Arabidopsis thaliana: one gene and its partners. The protein of the gene in region 3 purifies or fractionates together with the protein of the main gene of each other region. This does not show direct contact. Each region holds a gene or a part of one and is shown on either strand. Other genes may lie near its edges.

Region 1 (4,263 bases), about 17 Mb from region 3:
TAAAGTATGATCTAGTAGAAATACCAATATATTTACGTATAAGAGCGTTTTCTTTGTGCATGGAAATTGGAAACGATGAAAACCAAACAAAAGAAGAATGTGGATAAATCGATAATTAATAGGCCCATAAATAAAGCCCAATGGACCTTAAATTTTGTAAATATGATTCTCTCAAATAGAACCAGACAAATAAATCTATGGAGGTCCCAATCCCAAAGATCCGCGATGGACGCTTGCATTTACTTATTTAAAGTTTTGTCATCTACAGAATTCTAATGTTATTGGAGTGTATTAAATATTTGTTGTCAAAATTAAATAAGATTAAGGATATTCCTTTTTGGCTGCCACTGAGGCACTGACCAATCGTTACTAGAAAATTTCTAATAAACTAGGTGAATATCCATTATTCAAGGGTTGGTTGAATAGTTTTTTCTTTCTAAAATGATAGCATAACTTTTGTGGTTAAAAGAAGTATTCCCTTTGTTTATATTTAAAACAACAATTACCTACCTACTCTCCTAGGATATGATTCTTCCTAATTTTTTATAAATTTGAGTTTTTAATTTTCCTGCAGATACTCATTCAACCAAGAAAAGAAAAATCTCAGTAATCAGTCGTATGCATAGAAAAAATGGTCCCACGGCATAATCATTAACCAACAGAAAATTATGAAATGTGCAACAATATCGAGTTGTCTCATTGTTATTTATACAAAACAAAAGCATTAATTGAATATTGTATAAAGGACGCATTATAATGATCGACTATTAATTTCAATTTTGATAATCTGAAGAACATCAATATCATCCATTTTTATTTTGATAATATCATACTTGACTAGGACTGAGCATAATACGCGAGTCTACGAAAACAAAAACGGTGAAGCATTATAACAACACCAATTATTCATTAAATCTATGAGAATTCACGTTGGTTTCGGTTTATAAATCTCGCTAATATTTGATGTAAGCAACGGAAGAAGTGTTGGCATCTTTGATAAGTGTACCAAGAAGAGGAGCAAGCAAACATTTCTTGTCCTTCTCCTTGTAGAAGTAACCCAAACACTTGCAATCACGATCGCACTTAGCCTTGCAATCGTTCACAGAAGTTGGGCCTTGTCCATCATTAACATACGGCCCAGTAAAATGCTCAACACCGACTATCTTGTAATAATTGACAGCTTTACCCTTGCCTCCGCTGCAAAACTGCGTCGTTTTAGGTGGAGCGCATTTATCACTCCAAGCTAACAGACCTTTCGGTGTAGGGCACCCGACGCACATTCCTCGATCGCAGTAACCGTAATCGCCGCAAAACGTCGGCAAACCGCATTGACGGACGAAGTAATTGGAGAAGAAAGCGAAAGTCTCTTCCCATTCGAGATACGTCGCGGCAGGGAAATACGAGAAGGCCTTGAGGCTACCGTCGGATCCAAGTCTCAGATACGATATCGTTCCATTGTAGTTGATTTTGTTTAAGTTTAAAGTTCCTCCTCCGCTTCCGATTGGTCTAACTTGGAGTAACCGGCGGTTATTACCCGGGTTCGTAGCGGGTTGTGGTGCGGGTTCTAAGAGAAGCTCGTAAGCTGACGGCTCCGTTAAATTATCGAACTCTCTTGTAACGGCGAACGTGACGGTACCGCGGAAGTCGTGATCCGTCCATCCCCCGTAAACTAACGGCGTACCGGTTTTGTTAACGTACATGGTTAAGCCTTTGTTGTCCAACACCATGCTGTACGGACCATCGGAGCCGTTCATATCAGATGTACGGCTAACGAGTTTGTTAACTCCGTTAACTTTTAGGGATTGGCCGACGAGGAGTGTATCGGTGGGATGATCGAAACTCTGCCAAACGAATTTTCCATGTTTGTCGTGTAGCACCATGTTTCCATTGGGCAAGATTTGGAATCCGGTGACGCCTTTGTTGGCTGTGTTAGTCTGCCACTTGACTTGGCCGTTTAACTCAGCGAGCACAAGGTTTCCGTTTCGGCCGAATGAGAGTGTGGAGTTGTCTCCGACGGGGTTGTTGCGATTGGCGTCCCAGATCCAACGCGTGAAACTCATGTCACGCCTCGTTCCGACTCGGAGAGCTAACACGTAGGCGCTAGGAGTTGTATTGTAAAACATGAGCTGGAAAGGAATTGTGAAGAAATTCTGATTCGGTGAGTTGAGGAATCGGTAACTCGCGTCGTACTCGGTGATGTATGGGGCGTAGCCGGGTTCGTTGAGCACTCTGAATTGTTTCTCGGGAGGGACTTGGGCCATGACAACCGAAACAGTTGAAATGGCAAGTGCCGTGATTAGTAAGTAATCAAACCTAAGCATGGTTGTGTTCTTTATGTTTACTGAGATTGAGTAGTAGAGTGAGATGATTTTCTATATCCTTTAGGTGTATATATAAGATCTTAACTTTGGGTCGTTGGGCTGTATTCGTTTGAAAGTCCTAAGTTTTTTTTTTTTTTTTTTTTGAATGGTCCTAAGCTGCAAATCGTGTCTTCGTTATACAGATCAACCAATGGCTCATTTATGATTTGGATAAGATATGTCTACTGAGAATTTTCGAAAATTATCGTATATACAAAAGTTGTGAGTAAAACACTAATTATATATATTGTTGTTAATCCGTTTTTATTACACAAATTTTGTATAACTAATCTCATGAAAATTGTTCAGACAAAGTTGACCATCGTTTTTGACAAAAGAAAATTTAGATTCTCCAATCGGATTCATACTTTAAACACTTGTTTTTAAATATAGAATGTACTCGTTTAAATACTTTAAACTGTAAAAATATATCTAAAAATCCTTTCAAGATTGCAATCTACCCGATCACCATTTTGATCTCTACTCAAATTAGTGAATATTTGGATAACTAAGTACCCACACTTCCCAAACTAGCTATATAAATTTCTCGATTTTACCGTCTTGTATGTAAATATACTTCATAAAGTAATTTTATATATTCTAAAGTCTAGACTACACATTCCACCTTTATCTGACCCGCCACTAGACTGTCGTATATATATATACAAATTTCCGAGATAATGCTAACAGATATAAAAACATCTCCGCCAGCTTTAACAGTAAAAAAATTAAAACTCACAATAATCATCTTGTGATGATCGAATCTTTTATGTAAGTTCAGACATCCAAAACAGTACTGTGAGTCAGATTTTGATGGTTGATGGATGCATAGCTGCTGGGCAAGCTTTCACTTTTTATCCCATGTAATGCTAAAAAGTAAAAAGTAAGACCACAAAACTTGTAAAAAATATGTACGAAGGGAAGTGGACCACACGGTTTGTCCGATTAAGATAGAATTATTGGGCTATGACAAAGCCTAAAGGCCCAATGAGTTGGAGAAGTGACAAAATTTTTGCTGTTCTTTTGACAGTATGAGTCCCAACGACCATCTACAAACCTCAGTAGTCAATTGAATTAAGAACCAAGTGAGCGGTATTCCAAGTGGAGGACCAGTGGACTACAAAACTCTTGTCAGAGGCAACAAAATAATGATAATGCTTCACATGGTATTTTGATTCTCAAAGGTACTATATATATATAGTAAATACATCTGATGGCTTTTTTTTAAGGTAATACAATATATTCAACGGTGGATCATTACAAGCACACCGATTATTCATTAAATCTCTAAGAATTCAAAAAGAATTCGGTAAATAACTTTCCCAAAAAAACACTAATATTTGATGTAAGCAACAGAAGAAGTGTTGGCATCTTTGATAAGTGTACCAAGCAGAGGAGCAAGCAAACATTTCTTGTCTTTCTCTTTGTAGAAGTAACCCAAACACTTGCAATCACGATCGCACTTGGCCTTGCAATCGTTCACAGAAGTTGGGCCTTGTCCATCATTAACATAAGGCCCAGTAAAATGCTCAACACCGACTATCTTATAATAATTGACAGTTTTACCCTTGACTCCGCTGCAAAACTGCGTCGTTTTAGGTGGTGCGCATTTATCACTCCATCCGAGTAATCCTTTTGGTGTAGGACACGCGTTGCACATCCCACGATCGCAGTAACCGTAATCGCCGCAAAACGACGGCAAGCCACATTGACGGACGAAGTAAGTGGAGAAGAATGAGAAACTCTCTTCCCATTTGAGATACGTAGCTGCTGGGAAATACGAGTAAGCCTTGAGACTCCCGTCAGATCCGAGTCTTAGATACGAAATCGTTCCGTTGTAATTGATTTTGTTCAGATTTAAAGTTCCTCCTCCGCTTCCGATTGGTCTGACTTGGAGTAACCG
Region 2 (6,733 bases), on a different chromosome or scaffold from region 3:
CGAGTTCGTGCAATGATTGACTGGTTAATTGTCTGAATTTAGCCGAATGGAATTCGACACTTGCTGCTTTCCTTTGTCGTTGCCACGTTCCGTCATCGGTGTTGAAAATCCCGTCTCCGAGTAGATCTTGCATGGTCTCACGGAAGTAAGAACCCTTTGGGTAGATAGAGAAACGGGTCTTGAGAAGATGCTCAACGTTTCTTGGGTCGCAGGTAACAACGCAGTTGAGGGTGCTAAACCAAGGACCTCTAAACCGGAATGTCCCGTTTTGGCTGATAAGAACATCAGACAGCCATTCGTATATGTTGCTTCGTACCGCGGATATCAACGAAGGAAGCATGCCAACCAACGGCCAAACGGGCATCCCTTGGTGTTTCTTCTGGCGCAAGGAATGTATTGTCGCAAACACGAAAAAGGCAATAAAGAGCTCAAGAATCTGAACATCTCTCAGGGAAAACAGCCTCCTTGAAACCAGAAGTTCGTCGCTTCCGAAACAAGAAGAGGACACGGCAGTAGCCGTGAGATTATAAGAAGAAAAACTAAGATTCATAGTGACAAAGAAGGAACAAAGAAACAGAGTGTGTATAATTTTTTTGCAGAGAGAAAGAGAAAGAGAGATAAGAAATAATGAAGTTGTTAGTTAATTTAGTAGGTGAAGAATGTGAAATGAGGGAAGAAGGATTTAAGACGCATAAGTTTCGTGTTTGGCTCTCAATGTGAAATTGGGTTTGATTTGGTGAGCTAAAAAAAGTTCGTTGCTCTTTTCTAACGGTCTTTTAAATTTGTGTGGCTCTTTATTCTCGTGTTTTGCTATGTTTTCGTTTTGGTCTTTTGAAAGGACGAATCTTTTGGAGGGGATTAACTAGAAAATTAGGAAAATTAGAATTAGGGTTTTAGACTTGAGGATTGTTGATAAAAGAGAAATTGACAGGTGGGTAGTGACGGATCACCTAAGTTCTTGTTTATTTGTTATACACTTTATTTTATTTTGTCAAACAACTTGTTTAATTTATACGTGTGGAAATTGGAATTGGAAGAATATTAATAGTGAGTAATTCAAATAAACAGAATTTTTTTGGATACTACTGTACTATTTTAAACCTGGCGGTGAAGCCGTTGTTGTTTGAATTTAGGTTATCTGCATATATCTGGTGAATAATTGTTTTCGAACAATTTGGGCTTAGAAAACATATGGGCCTATCAATAAAGTATCGGGCCTTTGATATATATAAAATTTCATTAACCTCATTATTAATGTATTTTGGGCCTTACAGGCCCTCTGGCCTCTTCTAGGTGACTATAGCATCAATAAATGATTCTCATTAAGCCGCCAATTTCTCTGGCCTCTTCTAGGTGACTATAGCATCAATAAATTATTCCCGAGACAATTGCGAATAAACCACTTTCTTTGGAAATTATCATTGAGATCAACATAAAACATAAGCTTTGTTTATATGACAATGCTGTTGTTTTAAAGCTCTACGGTAGTACTACACATGTAATTTAATGAATTTTAATTGATTTCTAAACAGTACGAGCAATTTGTGTGTTGAATTCAACTTTGATTATATGGTTTATAAAACCTTGTTTTGGGAGATGAAATTCTGAATTAAGAAAAATAAAGAAGAAAGCATTTAATTTGCCGATGGCTCCATCTCCATAGCCATGTGGTTCAGTCTCCGATGATGACATCTCAAGCGTTGAAATTCAATTCCATCTTTCTGTAAAAGGTGAGAAAATTGGTAGTGAACCAACCATGTTATCGGAGACCGTGGAGGCACATTACAAGGAAATGATTATGAAATGTGTTTATTGTTATAACATTTTCACGTGAGTATCAAAAAAAAAATCTCATGAAAAATAAAAGACTTTTAAAGTTTTTTTTAATATAAAAAAAGACAGTATAAAGTAGAAGAAGTGGGGGCGTTTTCTCATCTGCTCTTCATTTCGATAAATAATTGAAAAGAACAAAAGAAACAAAAGAGACGAGAAAGAGTTTTGGCGATGAAGAAGAACGCACTTTGGCTACTGTGCATTCTGGTGTTACCGGCGATAGCCTGTGGTAGGAAACCGGAGAAGAAGGTAACAATTTCATCCTCTGGGAGGAAGGAAGATGACCTTGTAACCGGTTTGCCCGGCCAACCACCGGTTAACTTCAAACACTACGCCGGTTACGTGAATCTGGGGCCTGAACAGAAGCAAAAGGCACTTTTCTATTGGTTCTTCGAAGCTCAACAAAACTCTTCTCGTCGTCCTCTCGTCCTTTGGCTCAATGGAGGTCAGTTTCTCTTCCTCTCTCGCTCATTTACATAAAGTATATTTTATTTGAAGTAGTAATACAAACTTATCATTGTTCTCAATTGGAATTTTCATTCGAAACTTCATTGTTTCTGCGGTTTTACAAATATGTTTACCAATTTTAAAATGATAGCACCTTTTTTGAAACGGATGATGTGATGATTATGTTTGCAATAAAAAAATCAGTGTAATGAAAGATTAATGAACTCTCAAGCTCGTGCCTCGTGGGCCATGGTAATTAGGTTAATACATATGTCTAATCACACCATCACGTATTGACCACAAAACTCTGTGCCTGCAGGCCGTGATGTTGGGAAAATAATAGATAAAACTTGCACGAAAAAGAAAAAGAAAAAACACTAAACATAGAGAAATGTTTTCGGCAGTTGTATTTTCTTGGATACATAATTGAATTTGGACTAAAATTTTAATTATTTATATAGCTAACTCTTAGAAAACATCAAGTTGTGTACATTGTCCTACCAAACTCCATCGTCTGTCTCCTTACCCTGCCTTGTAACTTGCCAAGCAGTTCCTTTCGTTTCAGTAACAATAAAATTTTACTGTAATTGTATCGCAACGAGATAGTAAAGGGTCGTTTCGATGCAGTTGTTTTTGTTTTAAATTTTCCAAAAATTACAAGTCTATCAAATAGCCAAAACTTAAAGTAGTCTATTGTTTGTACAGTTATATATCGCTATTCTTAATAATCTGTAACTTATAGATGCCGTGTATGGCTTGATAAAAATAGCCAGAAACACCATTAAGTGATACACTGATACTATTCAACATTTTTGTTCCTTACTATTGCTTGATGGAGAAGTGATAACAAATCTGATACAGTTGGGAATGCCGACAAATTTTAATTGCCTACTTTAATAATATTTCGTTTTGTGGAACGCACTTCAACAATCTGTAGTCTGTATACGGTGGAACGAGTAGGTTCTTGCCTCTTCGGGACAAATATAGTCCAGTCCTCGTTTTCTTAACGTGAAATCTCAAAACCATAGCTTAAAACAAGTTGTATTTGAAAATGAGCTTCGATCTAATTAAGTGAACAAAAGTTATTCACAAAAATTAAAATTAACCTGTTTAAATACATCATATTTTTTCGTGAAGATTCAGTGAAATAAAACACTATACTATAACCCAACAACATATTTGGAAAAAATATCAACGAAGTCGTATATGGTCCGGCTCTCTGACAGATATTGGACTTGTATCATTCAATCAGTGTCCTTTTTGTGTAACATTCAATGTCCAAATCTTGTTTCTAGAGTGAGTAAAGATCTTTTGTCTGTTTCTTCTTTTTCTCTCGGTAGTTGTACATTCAATTTAACGAATTTACTTTATACGGTTTGTCTTTTTTCCCACACGGTTCATTCCAATATTAGGATATTTAGGGATACGAGAAATATCAACCTAGTCTTTTTTATTGGGGCTAGAAATCGGATAAGATGTTGAATATTCAATTATACACTTAGAAATAAACAAAAAGCTATGTCTAATAATAATGTGGAGTTGTGTACATGTCTAGTTTGAACAGAAAGATTGAAATTTGTTAATAATGAGGTATTACCTTTATAGGATTTGCGTGATTGAAGGGTACACACGAATCCAATGTAATCAAGAGCAATAGCAAAATCTTTAGTTATTTAATTTCTGTATACGAAAATGATATTTGAATCTTGATAGACAACTCGGGACAAAATACTGACGTCTAGCTAGCTAGTCTCATTAATTTTATTTTTTCTCGACAAATTTAGTTGTTTAGTTTTGGATTTTCTTGACAAATCTAGCGATGGAATTGAAAATAGCAATTTTCTTTAGTGAATTGTATTATTACATATTTGGTGAAACTCTTAAATTATTTTCATCAGTTTAACTAAAATCCAAAATATGCAGGACCGGGTTGCTCATCAATAGCCTATGGAGCTGCACAAGAACTAGGCCCTTTTCTTGTTCACGACAACGGTGGCAAACTTACCTACAATCATTTCTCTTGGAACAAAGGTAAAATGAATTATTACCATACTATCAGAAACATTTGAATTCTTTAGCTAACATGTATACTAATATTAACCGTGGTTACATTAAAAAAAATGTTTGTGCAGAGGCCAATATGTTGTTCTTGGAAGCGCCGGTTGGGGTTGGGTTCTCGTATACCAATAACTCAATGGATCTTCAAAAGCTTGGAGATGAAGTTACTGCATCGGACTCTCTTGCTTTCCTGATCAACTGGTTCATGAAATTCCCCGAGTTCCGATCCAGCGAGTTCTACATCTCTGGCGAGAGTTACGCCGGTAAGTGCTTTATCCGATTTTAATTCTTGATTTATGAATTATATCACCTAATATAAAAGAATTAATCTTGTATATTAATATTATATAAAACAAAGATTGAATCACATGCTTTTGATCTTCTTTTCTCAGGTCACTATGTTCCTCAGCTCGCGGAGGTAATTTACGACAGGAACAAGAAGGTTACGAAAGACTCTAGCATTAATCTCAAGGGATTCATGGTATGCACTCTATATATATGTATACTACTAGTAAGGTTACTTGCGAAACGAGGAAGCAACGTTTCTTGTGCTATAAGTAAACATAAAAGGTATTCGTTTGATGTTGCAGATAGGGAACGCGGTGATCAATGAGGCAACAGACATGGCAGGACTAGTGGACTACGCATGGAGCCACGCTATAATATCGGACGAGGTCCACACCAGCATCCATGGCTCGTGCAGTTTTGAGGAAGATACCACCAACAAGACCGAACAATGCTACAACAATTTCAAAGGGTTCATGGATGCTTACAATGATATCGATATATACAGTATCTACACTCCCGTTTGCCTCTCCTCTTTGTTGTCATCTTCTCCAAGAAAACCTAAAATCGTCGTGTCTCCTCGTCTCCTTACTTTTGACGTACGTAATCTACAATACAATATAGTATCATTGTAACATAATGTAATTACCATAATCTCTCTTCTTACTTTTTCTTACCAATTCTTCTCTTTTGATGGTTTAGGATTTGTGGGACAAGTTTCCGGCCGGGTACGATCCATGCACTGAAAGTTATGCCGAGAATTACTTTAACCGGAAAGATGTGCAGGTTGCACTCCATGCGAACGTCACCAACCTTCCTTATCCGTACTCTCCTTGCAGGTTAGTCCTCCTTACGTTACGTGGTACTAACTAAAATTAATAGCTAGCTAGAGACTTTGTATGTTAAGTTTAATGTCATGTTTCTAATGAACAAAGTATATATATATATGATCTTGTGGGTGTGATTCAGCGGAGTAATAAAGAGATGGAGTGATGCTCCATCCACCATGATTCCCATCATACAAAAGCTTTTGACGGGTGGCCTCCGTATCTGGATCTATAGGTATCTATATCTTTCTTTAACTGTTTTAAAAATTACGTGAAAAATTCATATATATTGTCAATTAGTTTAATGTTCACTGGTTCAATGTTGGCTATAGTGGAGATACGGATGGGAGAGTTCCGGTAACATCTACACGTTATAGCATAAAAAAGATGGGACTTAAGGTCGAGTCACCGTGGAGGTCATGGTTCCACAAGAGTCAAGTAGCTGGATGGGTTGAGACTTATGCCGGTGGACTAAATTTTGTCACGGTGAGAGGAGCCGGTCACCAGGTTCCGGCCTTGGCTCCGGCGCAATCTCTCACATTATTCTCTCACTTCATTTCTTCTGTCCCCTTGCCTTCAAAACGGTTCTGATATCAGTACCGTCAAGTCATGATGGCAAGTTGTTGTTGTTGTTTTGGAACCTTCGTTTAGCACTCTCCCAATTGATTTTATGAATTTCAATTGATGAATAAAGATTCTTCAACTTTTAGTTATATAATAAGGCTTTTACCTTTCTACGCACGTTTTTCGTTGTTTAATAATTTCCAGTATTTCAATTTTCAATAATCAACAAATCAGTAGTCTACTTCATTAATTTTGGAACTCAATGAAAATTTTCAAATTAATTTTAATATGAATGAAATAAATTAGGGGGAGACGGCCCTTAAGGCCCATTATAAATTTAGAGGGCCATTAAGGCCCATTAACACAAATTAAACCCAGTCATGGAGCTGAGGCAGTAGCGTTCGTTTTTTTGGAATCAATCACCGAAAGAGATCTTTCAACTGAAGCACCTGCGATTCATCTTCTTCTCTGCCCGTCGTTTCAACGTGAGGAGAAAAAAGAATGGCGTTTGCAAAAATGATGTTTCTTTTCGGAAAATTTCAGCAGGTGAATATATGAAGTTCTTATCTTCTAATCTGACTTATTTTTGAAACTTCCTCTCTGGTACGTGTTTTTTGATGTTGGGTATGAAGAAAGTTCGAGGCTTTTCAAAGGATTTAGTCTTCACTGTAATATGATTCCTGTGACTATATTTTGTAGCTTGTATAGACTTCAGAACA
Region 3 (3,671 bases):
GTGTTGAACCGGGAATAGTATAAAAACGCCTCCTTTGGTGATTTAATCGGCGACCTTGAAAACTTTAGGGCTTCGGAAACAGTGACTGGAGAGAGGACGGGAAGTGGTGGTGACGACTTGGGAGCAGTGGAATGGGAATATAGCTGATTAAAGGGTTTGTGGGCTTTTTAATGGGCCTATCGGACCTTACTATTATTCAACTTTTCATTGGCAAAAAAGGTAAAAGAGAAGTATTTAATTTAGCCCATGCACAATTAAATACAAGATCTGATCCGTTTACATTTCAAGTGTTCGACCAAATTTATAAGAACACTCAAGCATAACATATGCATCATTAATACAAGCCAACGTTACATAAATCGGAACATTTGTATTAGAATACTACTACTACTCATTAAATTTAATCATTTCGTATCATGTTGAGGTAATCATTGTCCGGCTCAGTGGTTCTATTGACTAAATATGAATTTCTTCGCTTCATGTTTCTCAGAGAGACTGTTTGGTGACCTTTCAAATGCCTTCAGATCCTCAATTTTGTACCAACATAACGACTGCATGGAAATAGTGCATAAGGGTTGAAATCATACTTTCACTAACATTCACTATAGTTGTAATGGAGCTTATTGGCATTGGGATCTTTAAATCACTTTATTATAGTCACACAAATTTTATTTGGAGCTACGTGTCATAATAAATCCAAATACAAAACTGTGCTTTTCTTGTCCCTAAGCTTTACAAGGAGAAAGTGGAAAGCCGCAAAGACACTTGTTATCGACAAAAGCACTAGCCGGGAACTTTGTCGATGGAAGCTTTCCGCAAAGATGGTTTTGACTCAAGTTTAGTGTCTGCAGTCTGGTCACCGTCACCGGTACCTTCCCAAATACCAAGTTCCTTGACAAATCCAGGGTTTTCAAGAAGATTCCAAACTTTAGCTTCCCCAAGTCGAACTGGAGTTTGTTCCCCGGTGCATGGAACTCCACCATAAAATCCATCTGGTTAAAAAACCTTATTGGACTCCCTGAGATCTCGTTTTCCGAAAAATCAATGTGATGGTAGAAAGAGGTGTCTGCTGGCATCCAATGGTCTAAGCTCATTTTGATCCCACATTTTGCAAGCTTCAATGAGTAGATGAACTTCGACAAGGTCACCCATTCGGGGATTGTTTCAAGGTGAAATCGGTTGTACGAAAGATGTAGATATTCGATGCCTAATGAGTTCAAGACAGGGAATGGACCGGTAAGCAGATTGTGGGAGAGATCAAGAAAGATAATGTTGGTCAGATTGGCAAAACTCATCGGCACGACCCCTGTGTACCCATTCCTAGAGAGATTTAATGCGGAGAGAAGCTCGAATCTCGATAAATAGTCCGGGATAGTCCCCGATAGCTTGTTATGGCCCACCTCAAGGGTAGAAAGAGTCGGTGCAAGAGATGCAATCGATGAAGGAAGGTTTCCAGAGAATCTGTTGCTGGAGAGATCAAGAAATCGAAGTTGCCGCATGGATTTGAATATGTCTGGGAAGATGCCAGAAAGGCGGTTACCGTTGAGCTTGAGTTGGAGTAAGCTAGTTAACTTAGACATCGAACTTGGGATCGAACCGCTGAACCGGTTTCCCGCCACACTCAAAATTTCCAAATTACTTAGTGCACCGATGTTGGCAGGAAGGGGACCAGAGAGACGGTTATTCTCTAAGTAAACAGTCCTTAGCTTTGGTAATTTGAAGAGGAAGTGGGGAAAAGATCCAGTGATCTTTCGAAGATTGGTGAGGCGAATCTCGTTGAGGTGATGGAGTTTGGCGAGCAACGGTGAGATAGTGCCGGAGAGAAAGGTTTCACCAACATCCGTATTTCCGTCTAATGCCATCATGGTGACGCGGTCGCCATGAATCGTAGGGAGGCAAAAGATACCGTACCAGGAGCAGCAGTCAATATCTTTCTGCCATGAGCTGAGAATACCCGAAGGATCTTGGGTTATACCCGATTTGAAAGCTAAAAGACCCGCTTTGTCATCAGGATGACATGTGGCAGCTCCCGTGGAACTTAAACACCGGAGAAAGATAACAAAGAGGAAGAGAGGGAAGGAACAAGAGTTCATGGTGTTTTGTTGAATGAGAGAAGTGACTGAAGTGTCGTCGACTCGAGGTCTGATTTCATTTCTATTCATTTTCAAACGTGTTTTTTCTTGCATAGTTAGTGGTGTCCGTAATTACAGCATGACAATTATCATTTTATATTCCCATGACAGGCTTAATCAACTCTCTGTCGGTAAAAGAGATACTCCATGATATAGACCTTAATTAACAAAATAAAGAGATCTGATATCAATGTGAATCTCGATCTTAAGACTTGACCACATGTCATTGGAATGGTAAGCGTGATATTGGTAATCCCTCTTGTATATCTTATTGACCTGTGATTTTTTAAGTATTAAATTAAGCTGCGAGATTTTGTTCAATATATTTTGATCTTATAATAGTATAATGCCTGTTCCGTAGAATACAAGCAACACGATTTTGAGGCATGGTTTGTTATCAGAGTATTGGAGAGGTTGTTTTCATATTGTTTAAGTGTGAGTTTAGAGATTTAAGACGTTGGTTTGTTTAAGAGATAGTCGCAGAATCTCTATAATGGTCTGTCTAATCGATTTACTTCTTATGATTCATTTCCTCAACCAATTTTCTTATGCGCTTCTTGTCTTTCAGGTTACTCCATTGGAGCTTTTTGAATCTTAGTTTGAGAGAGAGAAAGGATTGATCATTATATTACTGATTAACCTTAGTTTTCGACAGGAAATGCTCCTCCCGCCATAGGTTCATTTTTGGTTTATATTTTTGTTCAAATTTATTTGTTGGCTTATGAACATTAAGCTTTTGGATTCATTGTACTTTAAGAAATATTCTAGATCCAAAAAATGAATCATCTAATTGTTATTGTGTTCGTTATTGCTTTGTGTTCTCGTTAGAATGAAGGTAAGGGTTGTAATACTTAAGAATTTCTTAATGAACTCACTCGTGGTAGTATTCTCAAATTAAGTAAAGTGCACATCCAACCATAAGTAATATGTAATTTGAATTTTTGTTTTAAGTTTTAACGGACTAAAATTTTCAAATTAGGGGGAAAATTATAATTCAAATCCAAATCCAAATGGGTCTAACGGAATAAAACGGGGTATTTTAGTATTTTCGTATCAACTAGCTTTAGAACACTCACTACAAATATAATTTTCTGGTTCCATTCATTTCATCACCGACTCAAAAAATACTTCGTCTCTACAATTCAAATTATCAAATTCTTCGGAATCAACTTGTTTCGGCTCCAGCCGGTGATGAATCTGGGGATGAGAAACGAAATTGGGGAGGAAATCCTTGTCACCGCCGTCAAGAGGAGCGTGTGATTGACTCGGTTTAAACCCTCCGATATTACGCAAACAATCAGGTATATAATAAACCCAATTCTGATCGATTTCAAGTTTGTTTTTGATTCATCGGTTGTTTCGTTTACTTCATAATTCTCTTCCGATTATTCAGAACATAATTGTGGAATTGAATCTTGATTACAAATCCTTGTGATTAAGCAAAATAAGGTTAGGAATCACAAACCCCTTTCTTCGGGTTTCTTTGTTGATCCATTTATAGTAATCAATCTCTTAGCAATTTAGTAGAATCAGTGAATT
Region 4 (4,213 bases), about 17 Mb from region 3:
AAGTACCCACACTTCCCAAACTAGCTATATAAATTTCTCGATTTTACCGTCTTGTATGTAAATATACTTCATAAAGTAATTTTATATATTCTAAAGTCTAGACTACACATTCCACCTTTATCTGACCCGCCACTAGACTGTCGTATATATATATACAAATTTCCGAGATAATGCTAACAGATATAAAAACATCTCCGCCAGCTTTAACAGTAAAAAAATTAAAACTCACAATAATCATCTTGTGATGATCGAATCTTTTATGTAAGTTCAGACATCCAAAACAGTACTGTGAGTCAGATTTTGATGGTTGATGGATGCATAGCTGCTGGGCAAGCTTTCACTTTTTATCCCATGTAATGCTAAAAAGTAAAAAGTAAGACCACAAAACTTGTAAAAAATATGTACGAAGGGAAGTGGACCACACGGTTTGTCCGATTAAGATAGAATTATTGGGCTATGACAAAGCCTAAAGGCCCAATGAGTTGGAGAAGTGACAAAATTTTTGCTGTTCTTTTGACAGTATGAGTCCCAACGACCATCTACAAACCTCAGTAGTCAATTGAATTAAGAACCAAGTGAGCGGTATTCCAAGTGGAGGACCAGTGGACTACAAAACTCTTGTCAGAGGCAACAAAATAATGATAATGCTTCACATGGTATTTTGATTCTCAAAGGTACTATATATATATAGTAAATACATCTGATGGCTTTTTTTTAAGGTAATACAATATATTCAACGGTGGATCATTACAAGCACACCGATTATTCATTAAATCTCTAAGAATTCAAAAAGAATTCGGTAAATAACTTTCCCAAAAAAACACTAATATTTGATGTAAGCAACAGAAGAAGTGTTGGCATCTTTGATAAGTGTACCAAGCAGAGGAGCAAGCAAACATTTCTTGTCTTTCTCTTTGTAGAAGTAACCCAAACACTTGCAATCACGATCGCACTTGGCCTTGCAATCGTTCACAGAAGTTGGGCCTTGTCCATCATTAACATAAGGCCCAGTAAAATGCTCAACACCGACTATCTTATAATAATTGACAGTTTTACCCTTGACTCCGCTGCAAAACTGCGTCGTTTTAGGTGGTGCGCATTTATCACTCCATCCGAGTAATCCTTTTGGTGTAGGACACGCGTTGCACATCCCACGATCGCAGTAACCGTAATCGCCGCAAAACGACGGCAAGCCACATTGACGGACGAAGTAAGTGGAGAAGAATGAGAAACTCTCTTCCCATTTGAGATACGTAGCTGCTGGGAAATACGAGTAAGCCTTGAGACTCCCGTCAGATCCGAGTCTTAGATACGAAATCGTTCCGTTGTAATTGATTTTGTTCAGATTTAAAGTTCCTCCTCCGCTTCCGATTGGTCTGACTTGGAGTAACCGGCGGTTATTACCCGGGTTCGTAGCGGGTTGTGGTGCGGGTTCTAAGAGAAGCTCGTAAGCTGACGGCTCCGTTAAATTATCGAATTCTCTTGTAACGGCGAAAGTGACGGTGCCGCGGAAATCGTGATCCGGCCATCCGCCGTAAACTAACGGCGTACCGGTTTTGTTAACGTACATGGTTAAACCTTTTTTGTCCAGCACCATGCTGTACGGACCATCTGAGCCGTTCGAATCAGATGTACGGCTAACGAGTTTGTTGACTCCGTTAACTTTTAACGATTGGCCGGTGAGGAGTGTATCGGTGGGGTGATCGAAACTCTGCCATACGAATTTGCCGTTTTTGTCGTGTAGGACGATGTTTCCGTTGGGTAAGATTTGGAATCCGGTGACGCCTTTGTTAGCTGTGTTAGTCTGCCATTTGACTCGTCCGTCAGCTTCAGCGAGGACGAGGTTGCCGTTACGGCCGAGTGAGAGTGTAGCGTTTTCTCCGACGGGGTTGTTGCGATTCGCGTCCCATATCCAACGCATGGTAGACTCGTCACGCCTGAGTCCGACTCGGAGAGCTAAGATGTAGGCGCTAGGGGTAGTGTTGTAAAACAAGAGCTGGAATGGTGATGTGAAGAAGCTCTGGTTTGATGATTCGATGAATCTGTAACTTGCGTCGTACTCAGTGATGTATTCACCGAATTCTCCTTCGTTGACGACTCTGAATTGTTTCTCCGGAGGGACTTGAGCTATAACCACCGAAACAGTGGCAATGGCAAGTGCCAAGGTTACTAAGATAGCAAATCGAGACATGATTTTGTTTTCTTGTGTGAGTAAAGGAGTGAGATGATTATGTAGAAGATGTATCTTGTGTTGTGGTATATATAAGTTGTTTAGCTTTGTAATATTGGCCGTATTCGTTTGAAAAGTCAAAGTTGCTAATTGCGACTTGACTAATTAAAGAAGAAGAGATCAAGCAAATTGGTGCTGTACAATGGAGCCGATGGCGACTTATGATTTGGATAAGGTTTGTCTAGTGCAGATTATCGAATATTCGTCATAACTATTTTGCTTTCTGAATATCATATAATTTATTTTCTTGTCGAAAGAAAATGATTAATCCTTTTATGCATTTATCTTAATACTATCATTTTCTAGAAGACTTGAAACCGGATTTTCTGCCTATGAGAGGATAATGAGGATTGGTAAAATATCACAGCACCGTCTTGGTAAAATAGACTTGAAGCTGTGAGTTTAGTTAAGTTTTGAAGAAAAAATGTAGTTGTGGATTTTTCTTAGATGCCACTGCGAGGGGCCAAGATTTGGCTTTTTCATTTAAAAGTTTAAGTACACGTATCTATGGGTAGCAGAGATCCATGTATCTTATTCTTTACATGTGCACCAAACGAAACCCAAACAAATAATGGCTGACAAAGATATCTACGATATCAATAATATTGCGGCATCTTGAATTTACCAATCACATAAATCTTAAAATTTTTAAAAATTACGATGTCTAACCGGAACAAGTGTGGAAACTAAAAACACCTAAGAAGCATAACGTTTACACTTGTGCTTGATCCTCACAACAAGTTCAAAAAAACGACGAATGAAGAAAGACTTGACAAGCAGAAGAAAGCTTTGGAAACGCAAGGATTTGCTTGCTAAGTTGAAACCTGTGTTCTTCTGCCCATAAAATGAATCGAAGAGTAAGCTCCTTGACAACTGCTGCATTCCCCAGGATGTATTTGACAAGCTCGGTTTCGACCTGATTCTCAACCGAGCTGGATATCATAGCTGTGCTGTATATCGTAACAAACTTGAGCGATATTAGCAGACACTTAGGCATAGTTGATCTTGAGATATCCAATATATCTAGACGATGATCGTGAACCCACTACATAATATCAAGGACAAGAAACGAAAAACGTAATGAGAATGTATAGTTTAGTTAAGTAATTCAAGAGTTACTTATAAAAATAAAATTACCAACTCTAGAGATTTTAGGTTTGGACAGCTTGCGAGAAACGTTGGTAACAACTTTAAACAAGAGGAGTCCATCGAAACTTCCAAATGGGTTAAGTTAGAGAACTGAGGCAATGGTTCCGAGCTAGAGTAAGCATACATAGCCTAGCAAAAACCAAGAAGAATAAATTAGTAATAAGTTTTCGAGACAGATTAATTCAGGATGAATAGTTACAAAAATATACATACCTCTAGACAACAGTAATTGAGTGCAAGATTTGTGACATTTGATATCCAAGCAATAAATGTACGCAATGTTTTCATCGTCAATGAGTTAATAGGATTAAACTCTCCTTTAGAGATACTAATATCCACTTTGAGCGGAGAACATACACTATTCAGCACAAGGTCTTTAAACCGGTGGATTTGAAGATTCAGAGACTTAAGCCTAGGAGCATCAATCACTAGCCCAATTTTTGTTAAATCTTTGTTCCAATCTAAATCTCTTTTCCAAATACGCATTCTCAAGCTATATAGTGTCTGAGACCGCACTCGTATAACTTCCACATTCCAAACTTTTTCAATGTACAAAACTTGAAGAACTGGGGAGGATGAGATAAGCCTCTCTAGAGCCGCTTCGCTCGAAAACCAAACCGATAGTAAATGCATAGTCTCAAGACGAGGTAGAGAAACGGAGTCAAAACTATCAATGCCTACCTCGACCAGCTTCAAGTGTACCAATGTTTCACACATAGAAATGCTTCCCGGAAGTTTTATGGGACAATAATTGTTCTTATGCAAGAACCAAATATTTTAGCAACAACCACAAGATGCTGAACTCCACGGGTAACCACTGAGTCGACCCACTTG

What was found.
Region 1: the proteins of AT1G33670 (region 3) and AT1G78820 fractionate together in Arabidopsis thaliana (co-fractionation; one large-scale study listed by BioGRID). This does not show direct contact.
Region 2: the proteins of AT1G33670 (region 3) and scpl35 fractionate together in Arabidopsis thaliana (co-fractionation; one large-scale study listed by BioGRID). This does not show direct contact.
Region 4: the proteins of AT1G33670 (region 3) and AT1G78830 fractionate together in Arabidopsis thaliana (co-fractionation; one large-scale study listed by BioGRID). This does not show direct contact.

Annotation. Positions count from the first base shown.
Region 1 is NC_003070.9:29,633,448-29,637,710, forward strand, and holds AT1G78820 (D-mannose binding lectin protein with Apple-like carbohydrate-binding domain-containing protein), read right to left. Parts: upstream 2,485-4,263; 5' UTR 2,322-2,484; coding exon 954-2,321; 3' UTR 649-953; downstream 1-648. Other genes in the region: AT1G78830 (Curculin-like (mannose-binding) lectin family protein), read right to left, coding at 3,694-4,263.
Region 2 is NC_003076.8:2,655,232-2,661,964, forward strand, and holds scpl35 (serine carboxypeptidase-like 35), read left to right. Parts: upstream 1-1,822; 5' UTR 1,823-2,004; coding exon 2,005-2,278; intron 2,279-4,203; coding exon 4,204-4,311; intron 4,312-4,412; coding exon 4,413-4,601; intron 4,602-4,730; coding exon 4,731-4,819; intron 4,820-4,928; coding exon 4,929-5,222; intron 5,223-5,325; coding exon 5,326-5,462; intron 5,463-5,592; coding exon 5,593-5,685; intron 5,686-5,782; coding exon 5,783-6,041; 3' UTR 6,042-6,206; downstream 6,207-6,733. Other genes in the region: AT5G08250 (Cytochrome P450 superfamily protein), read right to left, coding at 1-550; AT5G08270 (C5orf35), read left to right, coding at 6,516-6,560. UniProt on the Arabidopsis thaliana protein: Probable carboxypeptidase.
Region 3 is NC_003070.9:12,200,385-12,204,055, reverse strand, and holds AT1G33670 (Leucine-rich repeat (LRR) family protein), read right to left. Parts: upstream 2,094-3,671; coding exon 726-2,093; 3' UTR 648-725; downstream 1-647.
Region 4 is NC_003070.9:29,636,318-29,640,530, forward strand, and holds AT1G78830 (Curculin-like (mannose-binding) lectin family protein), read right to left. Parts: upstream 2,457-4,213; 5' UTR 2,192-2,456; coding exon 824-2,191; 3' UTR 501-823; downstream 1-500. Other genes in the region: AT1G78840 (F-box/RNI-like/FBD-like domains-containing protein), read right to left, coding at 2,973-3,275, 3,368-3,508, 3,593-4,135, 4,168-4,213.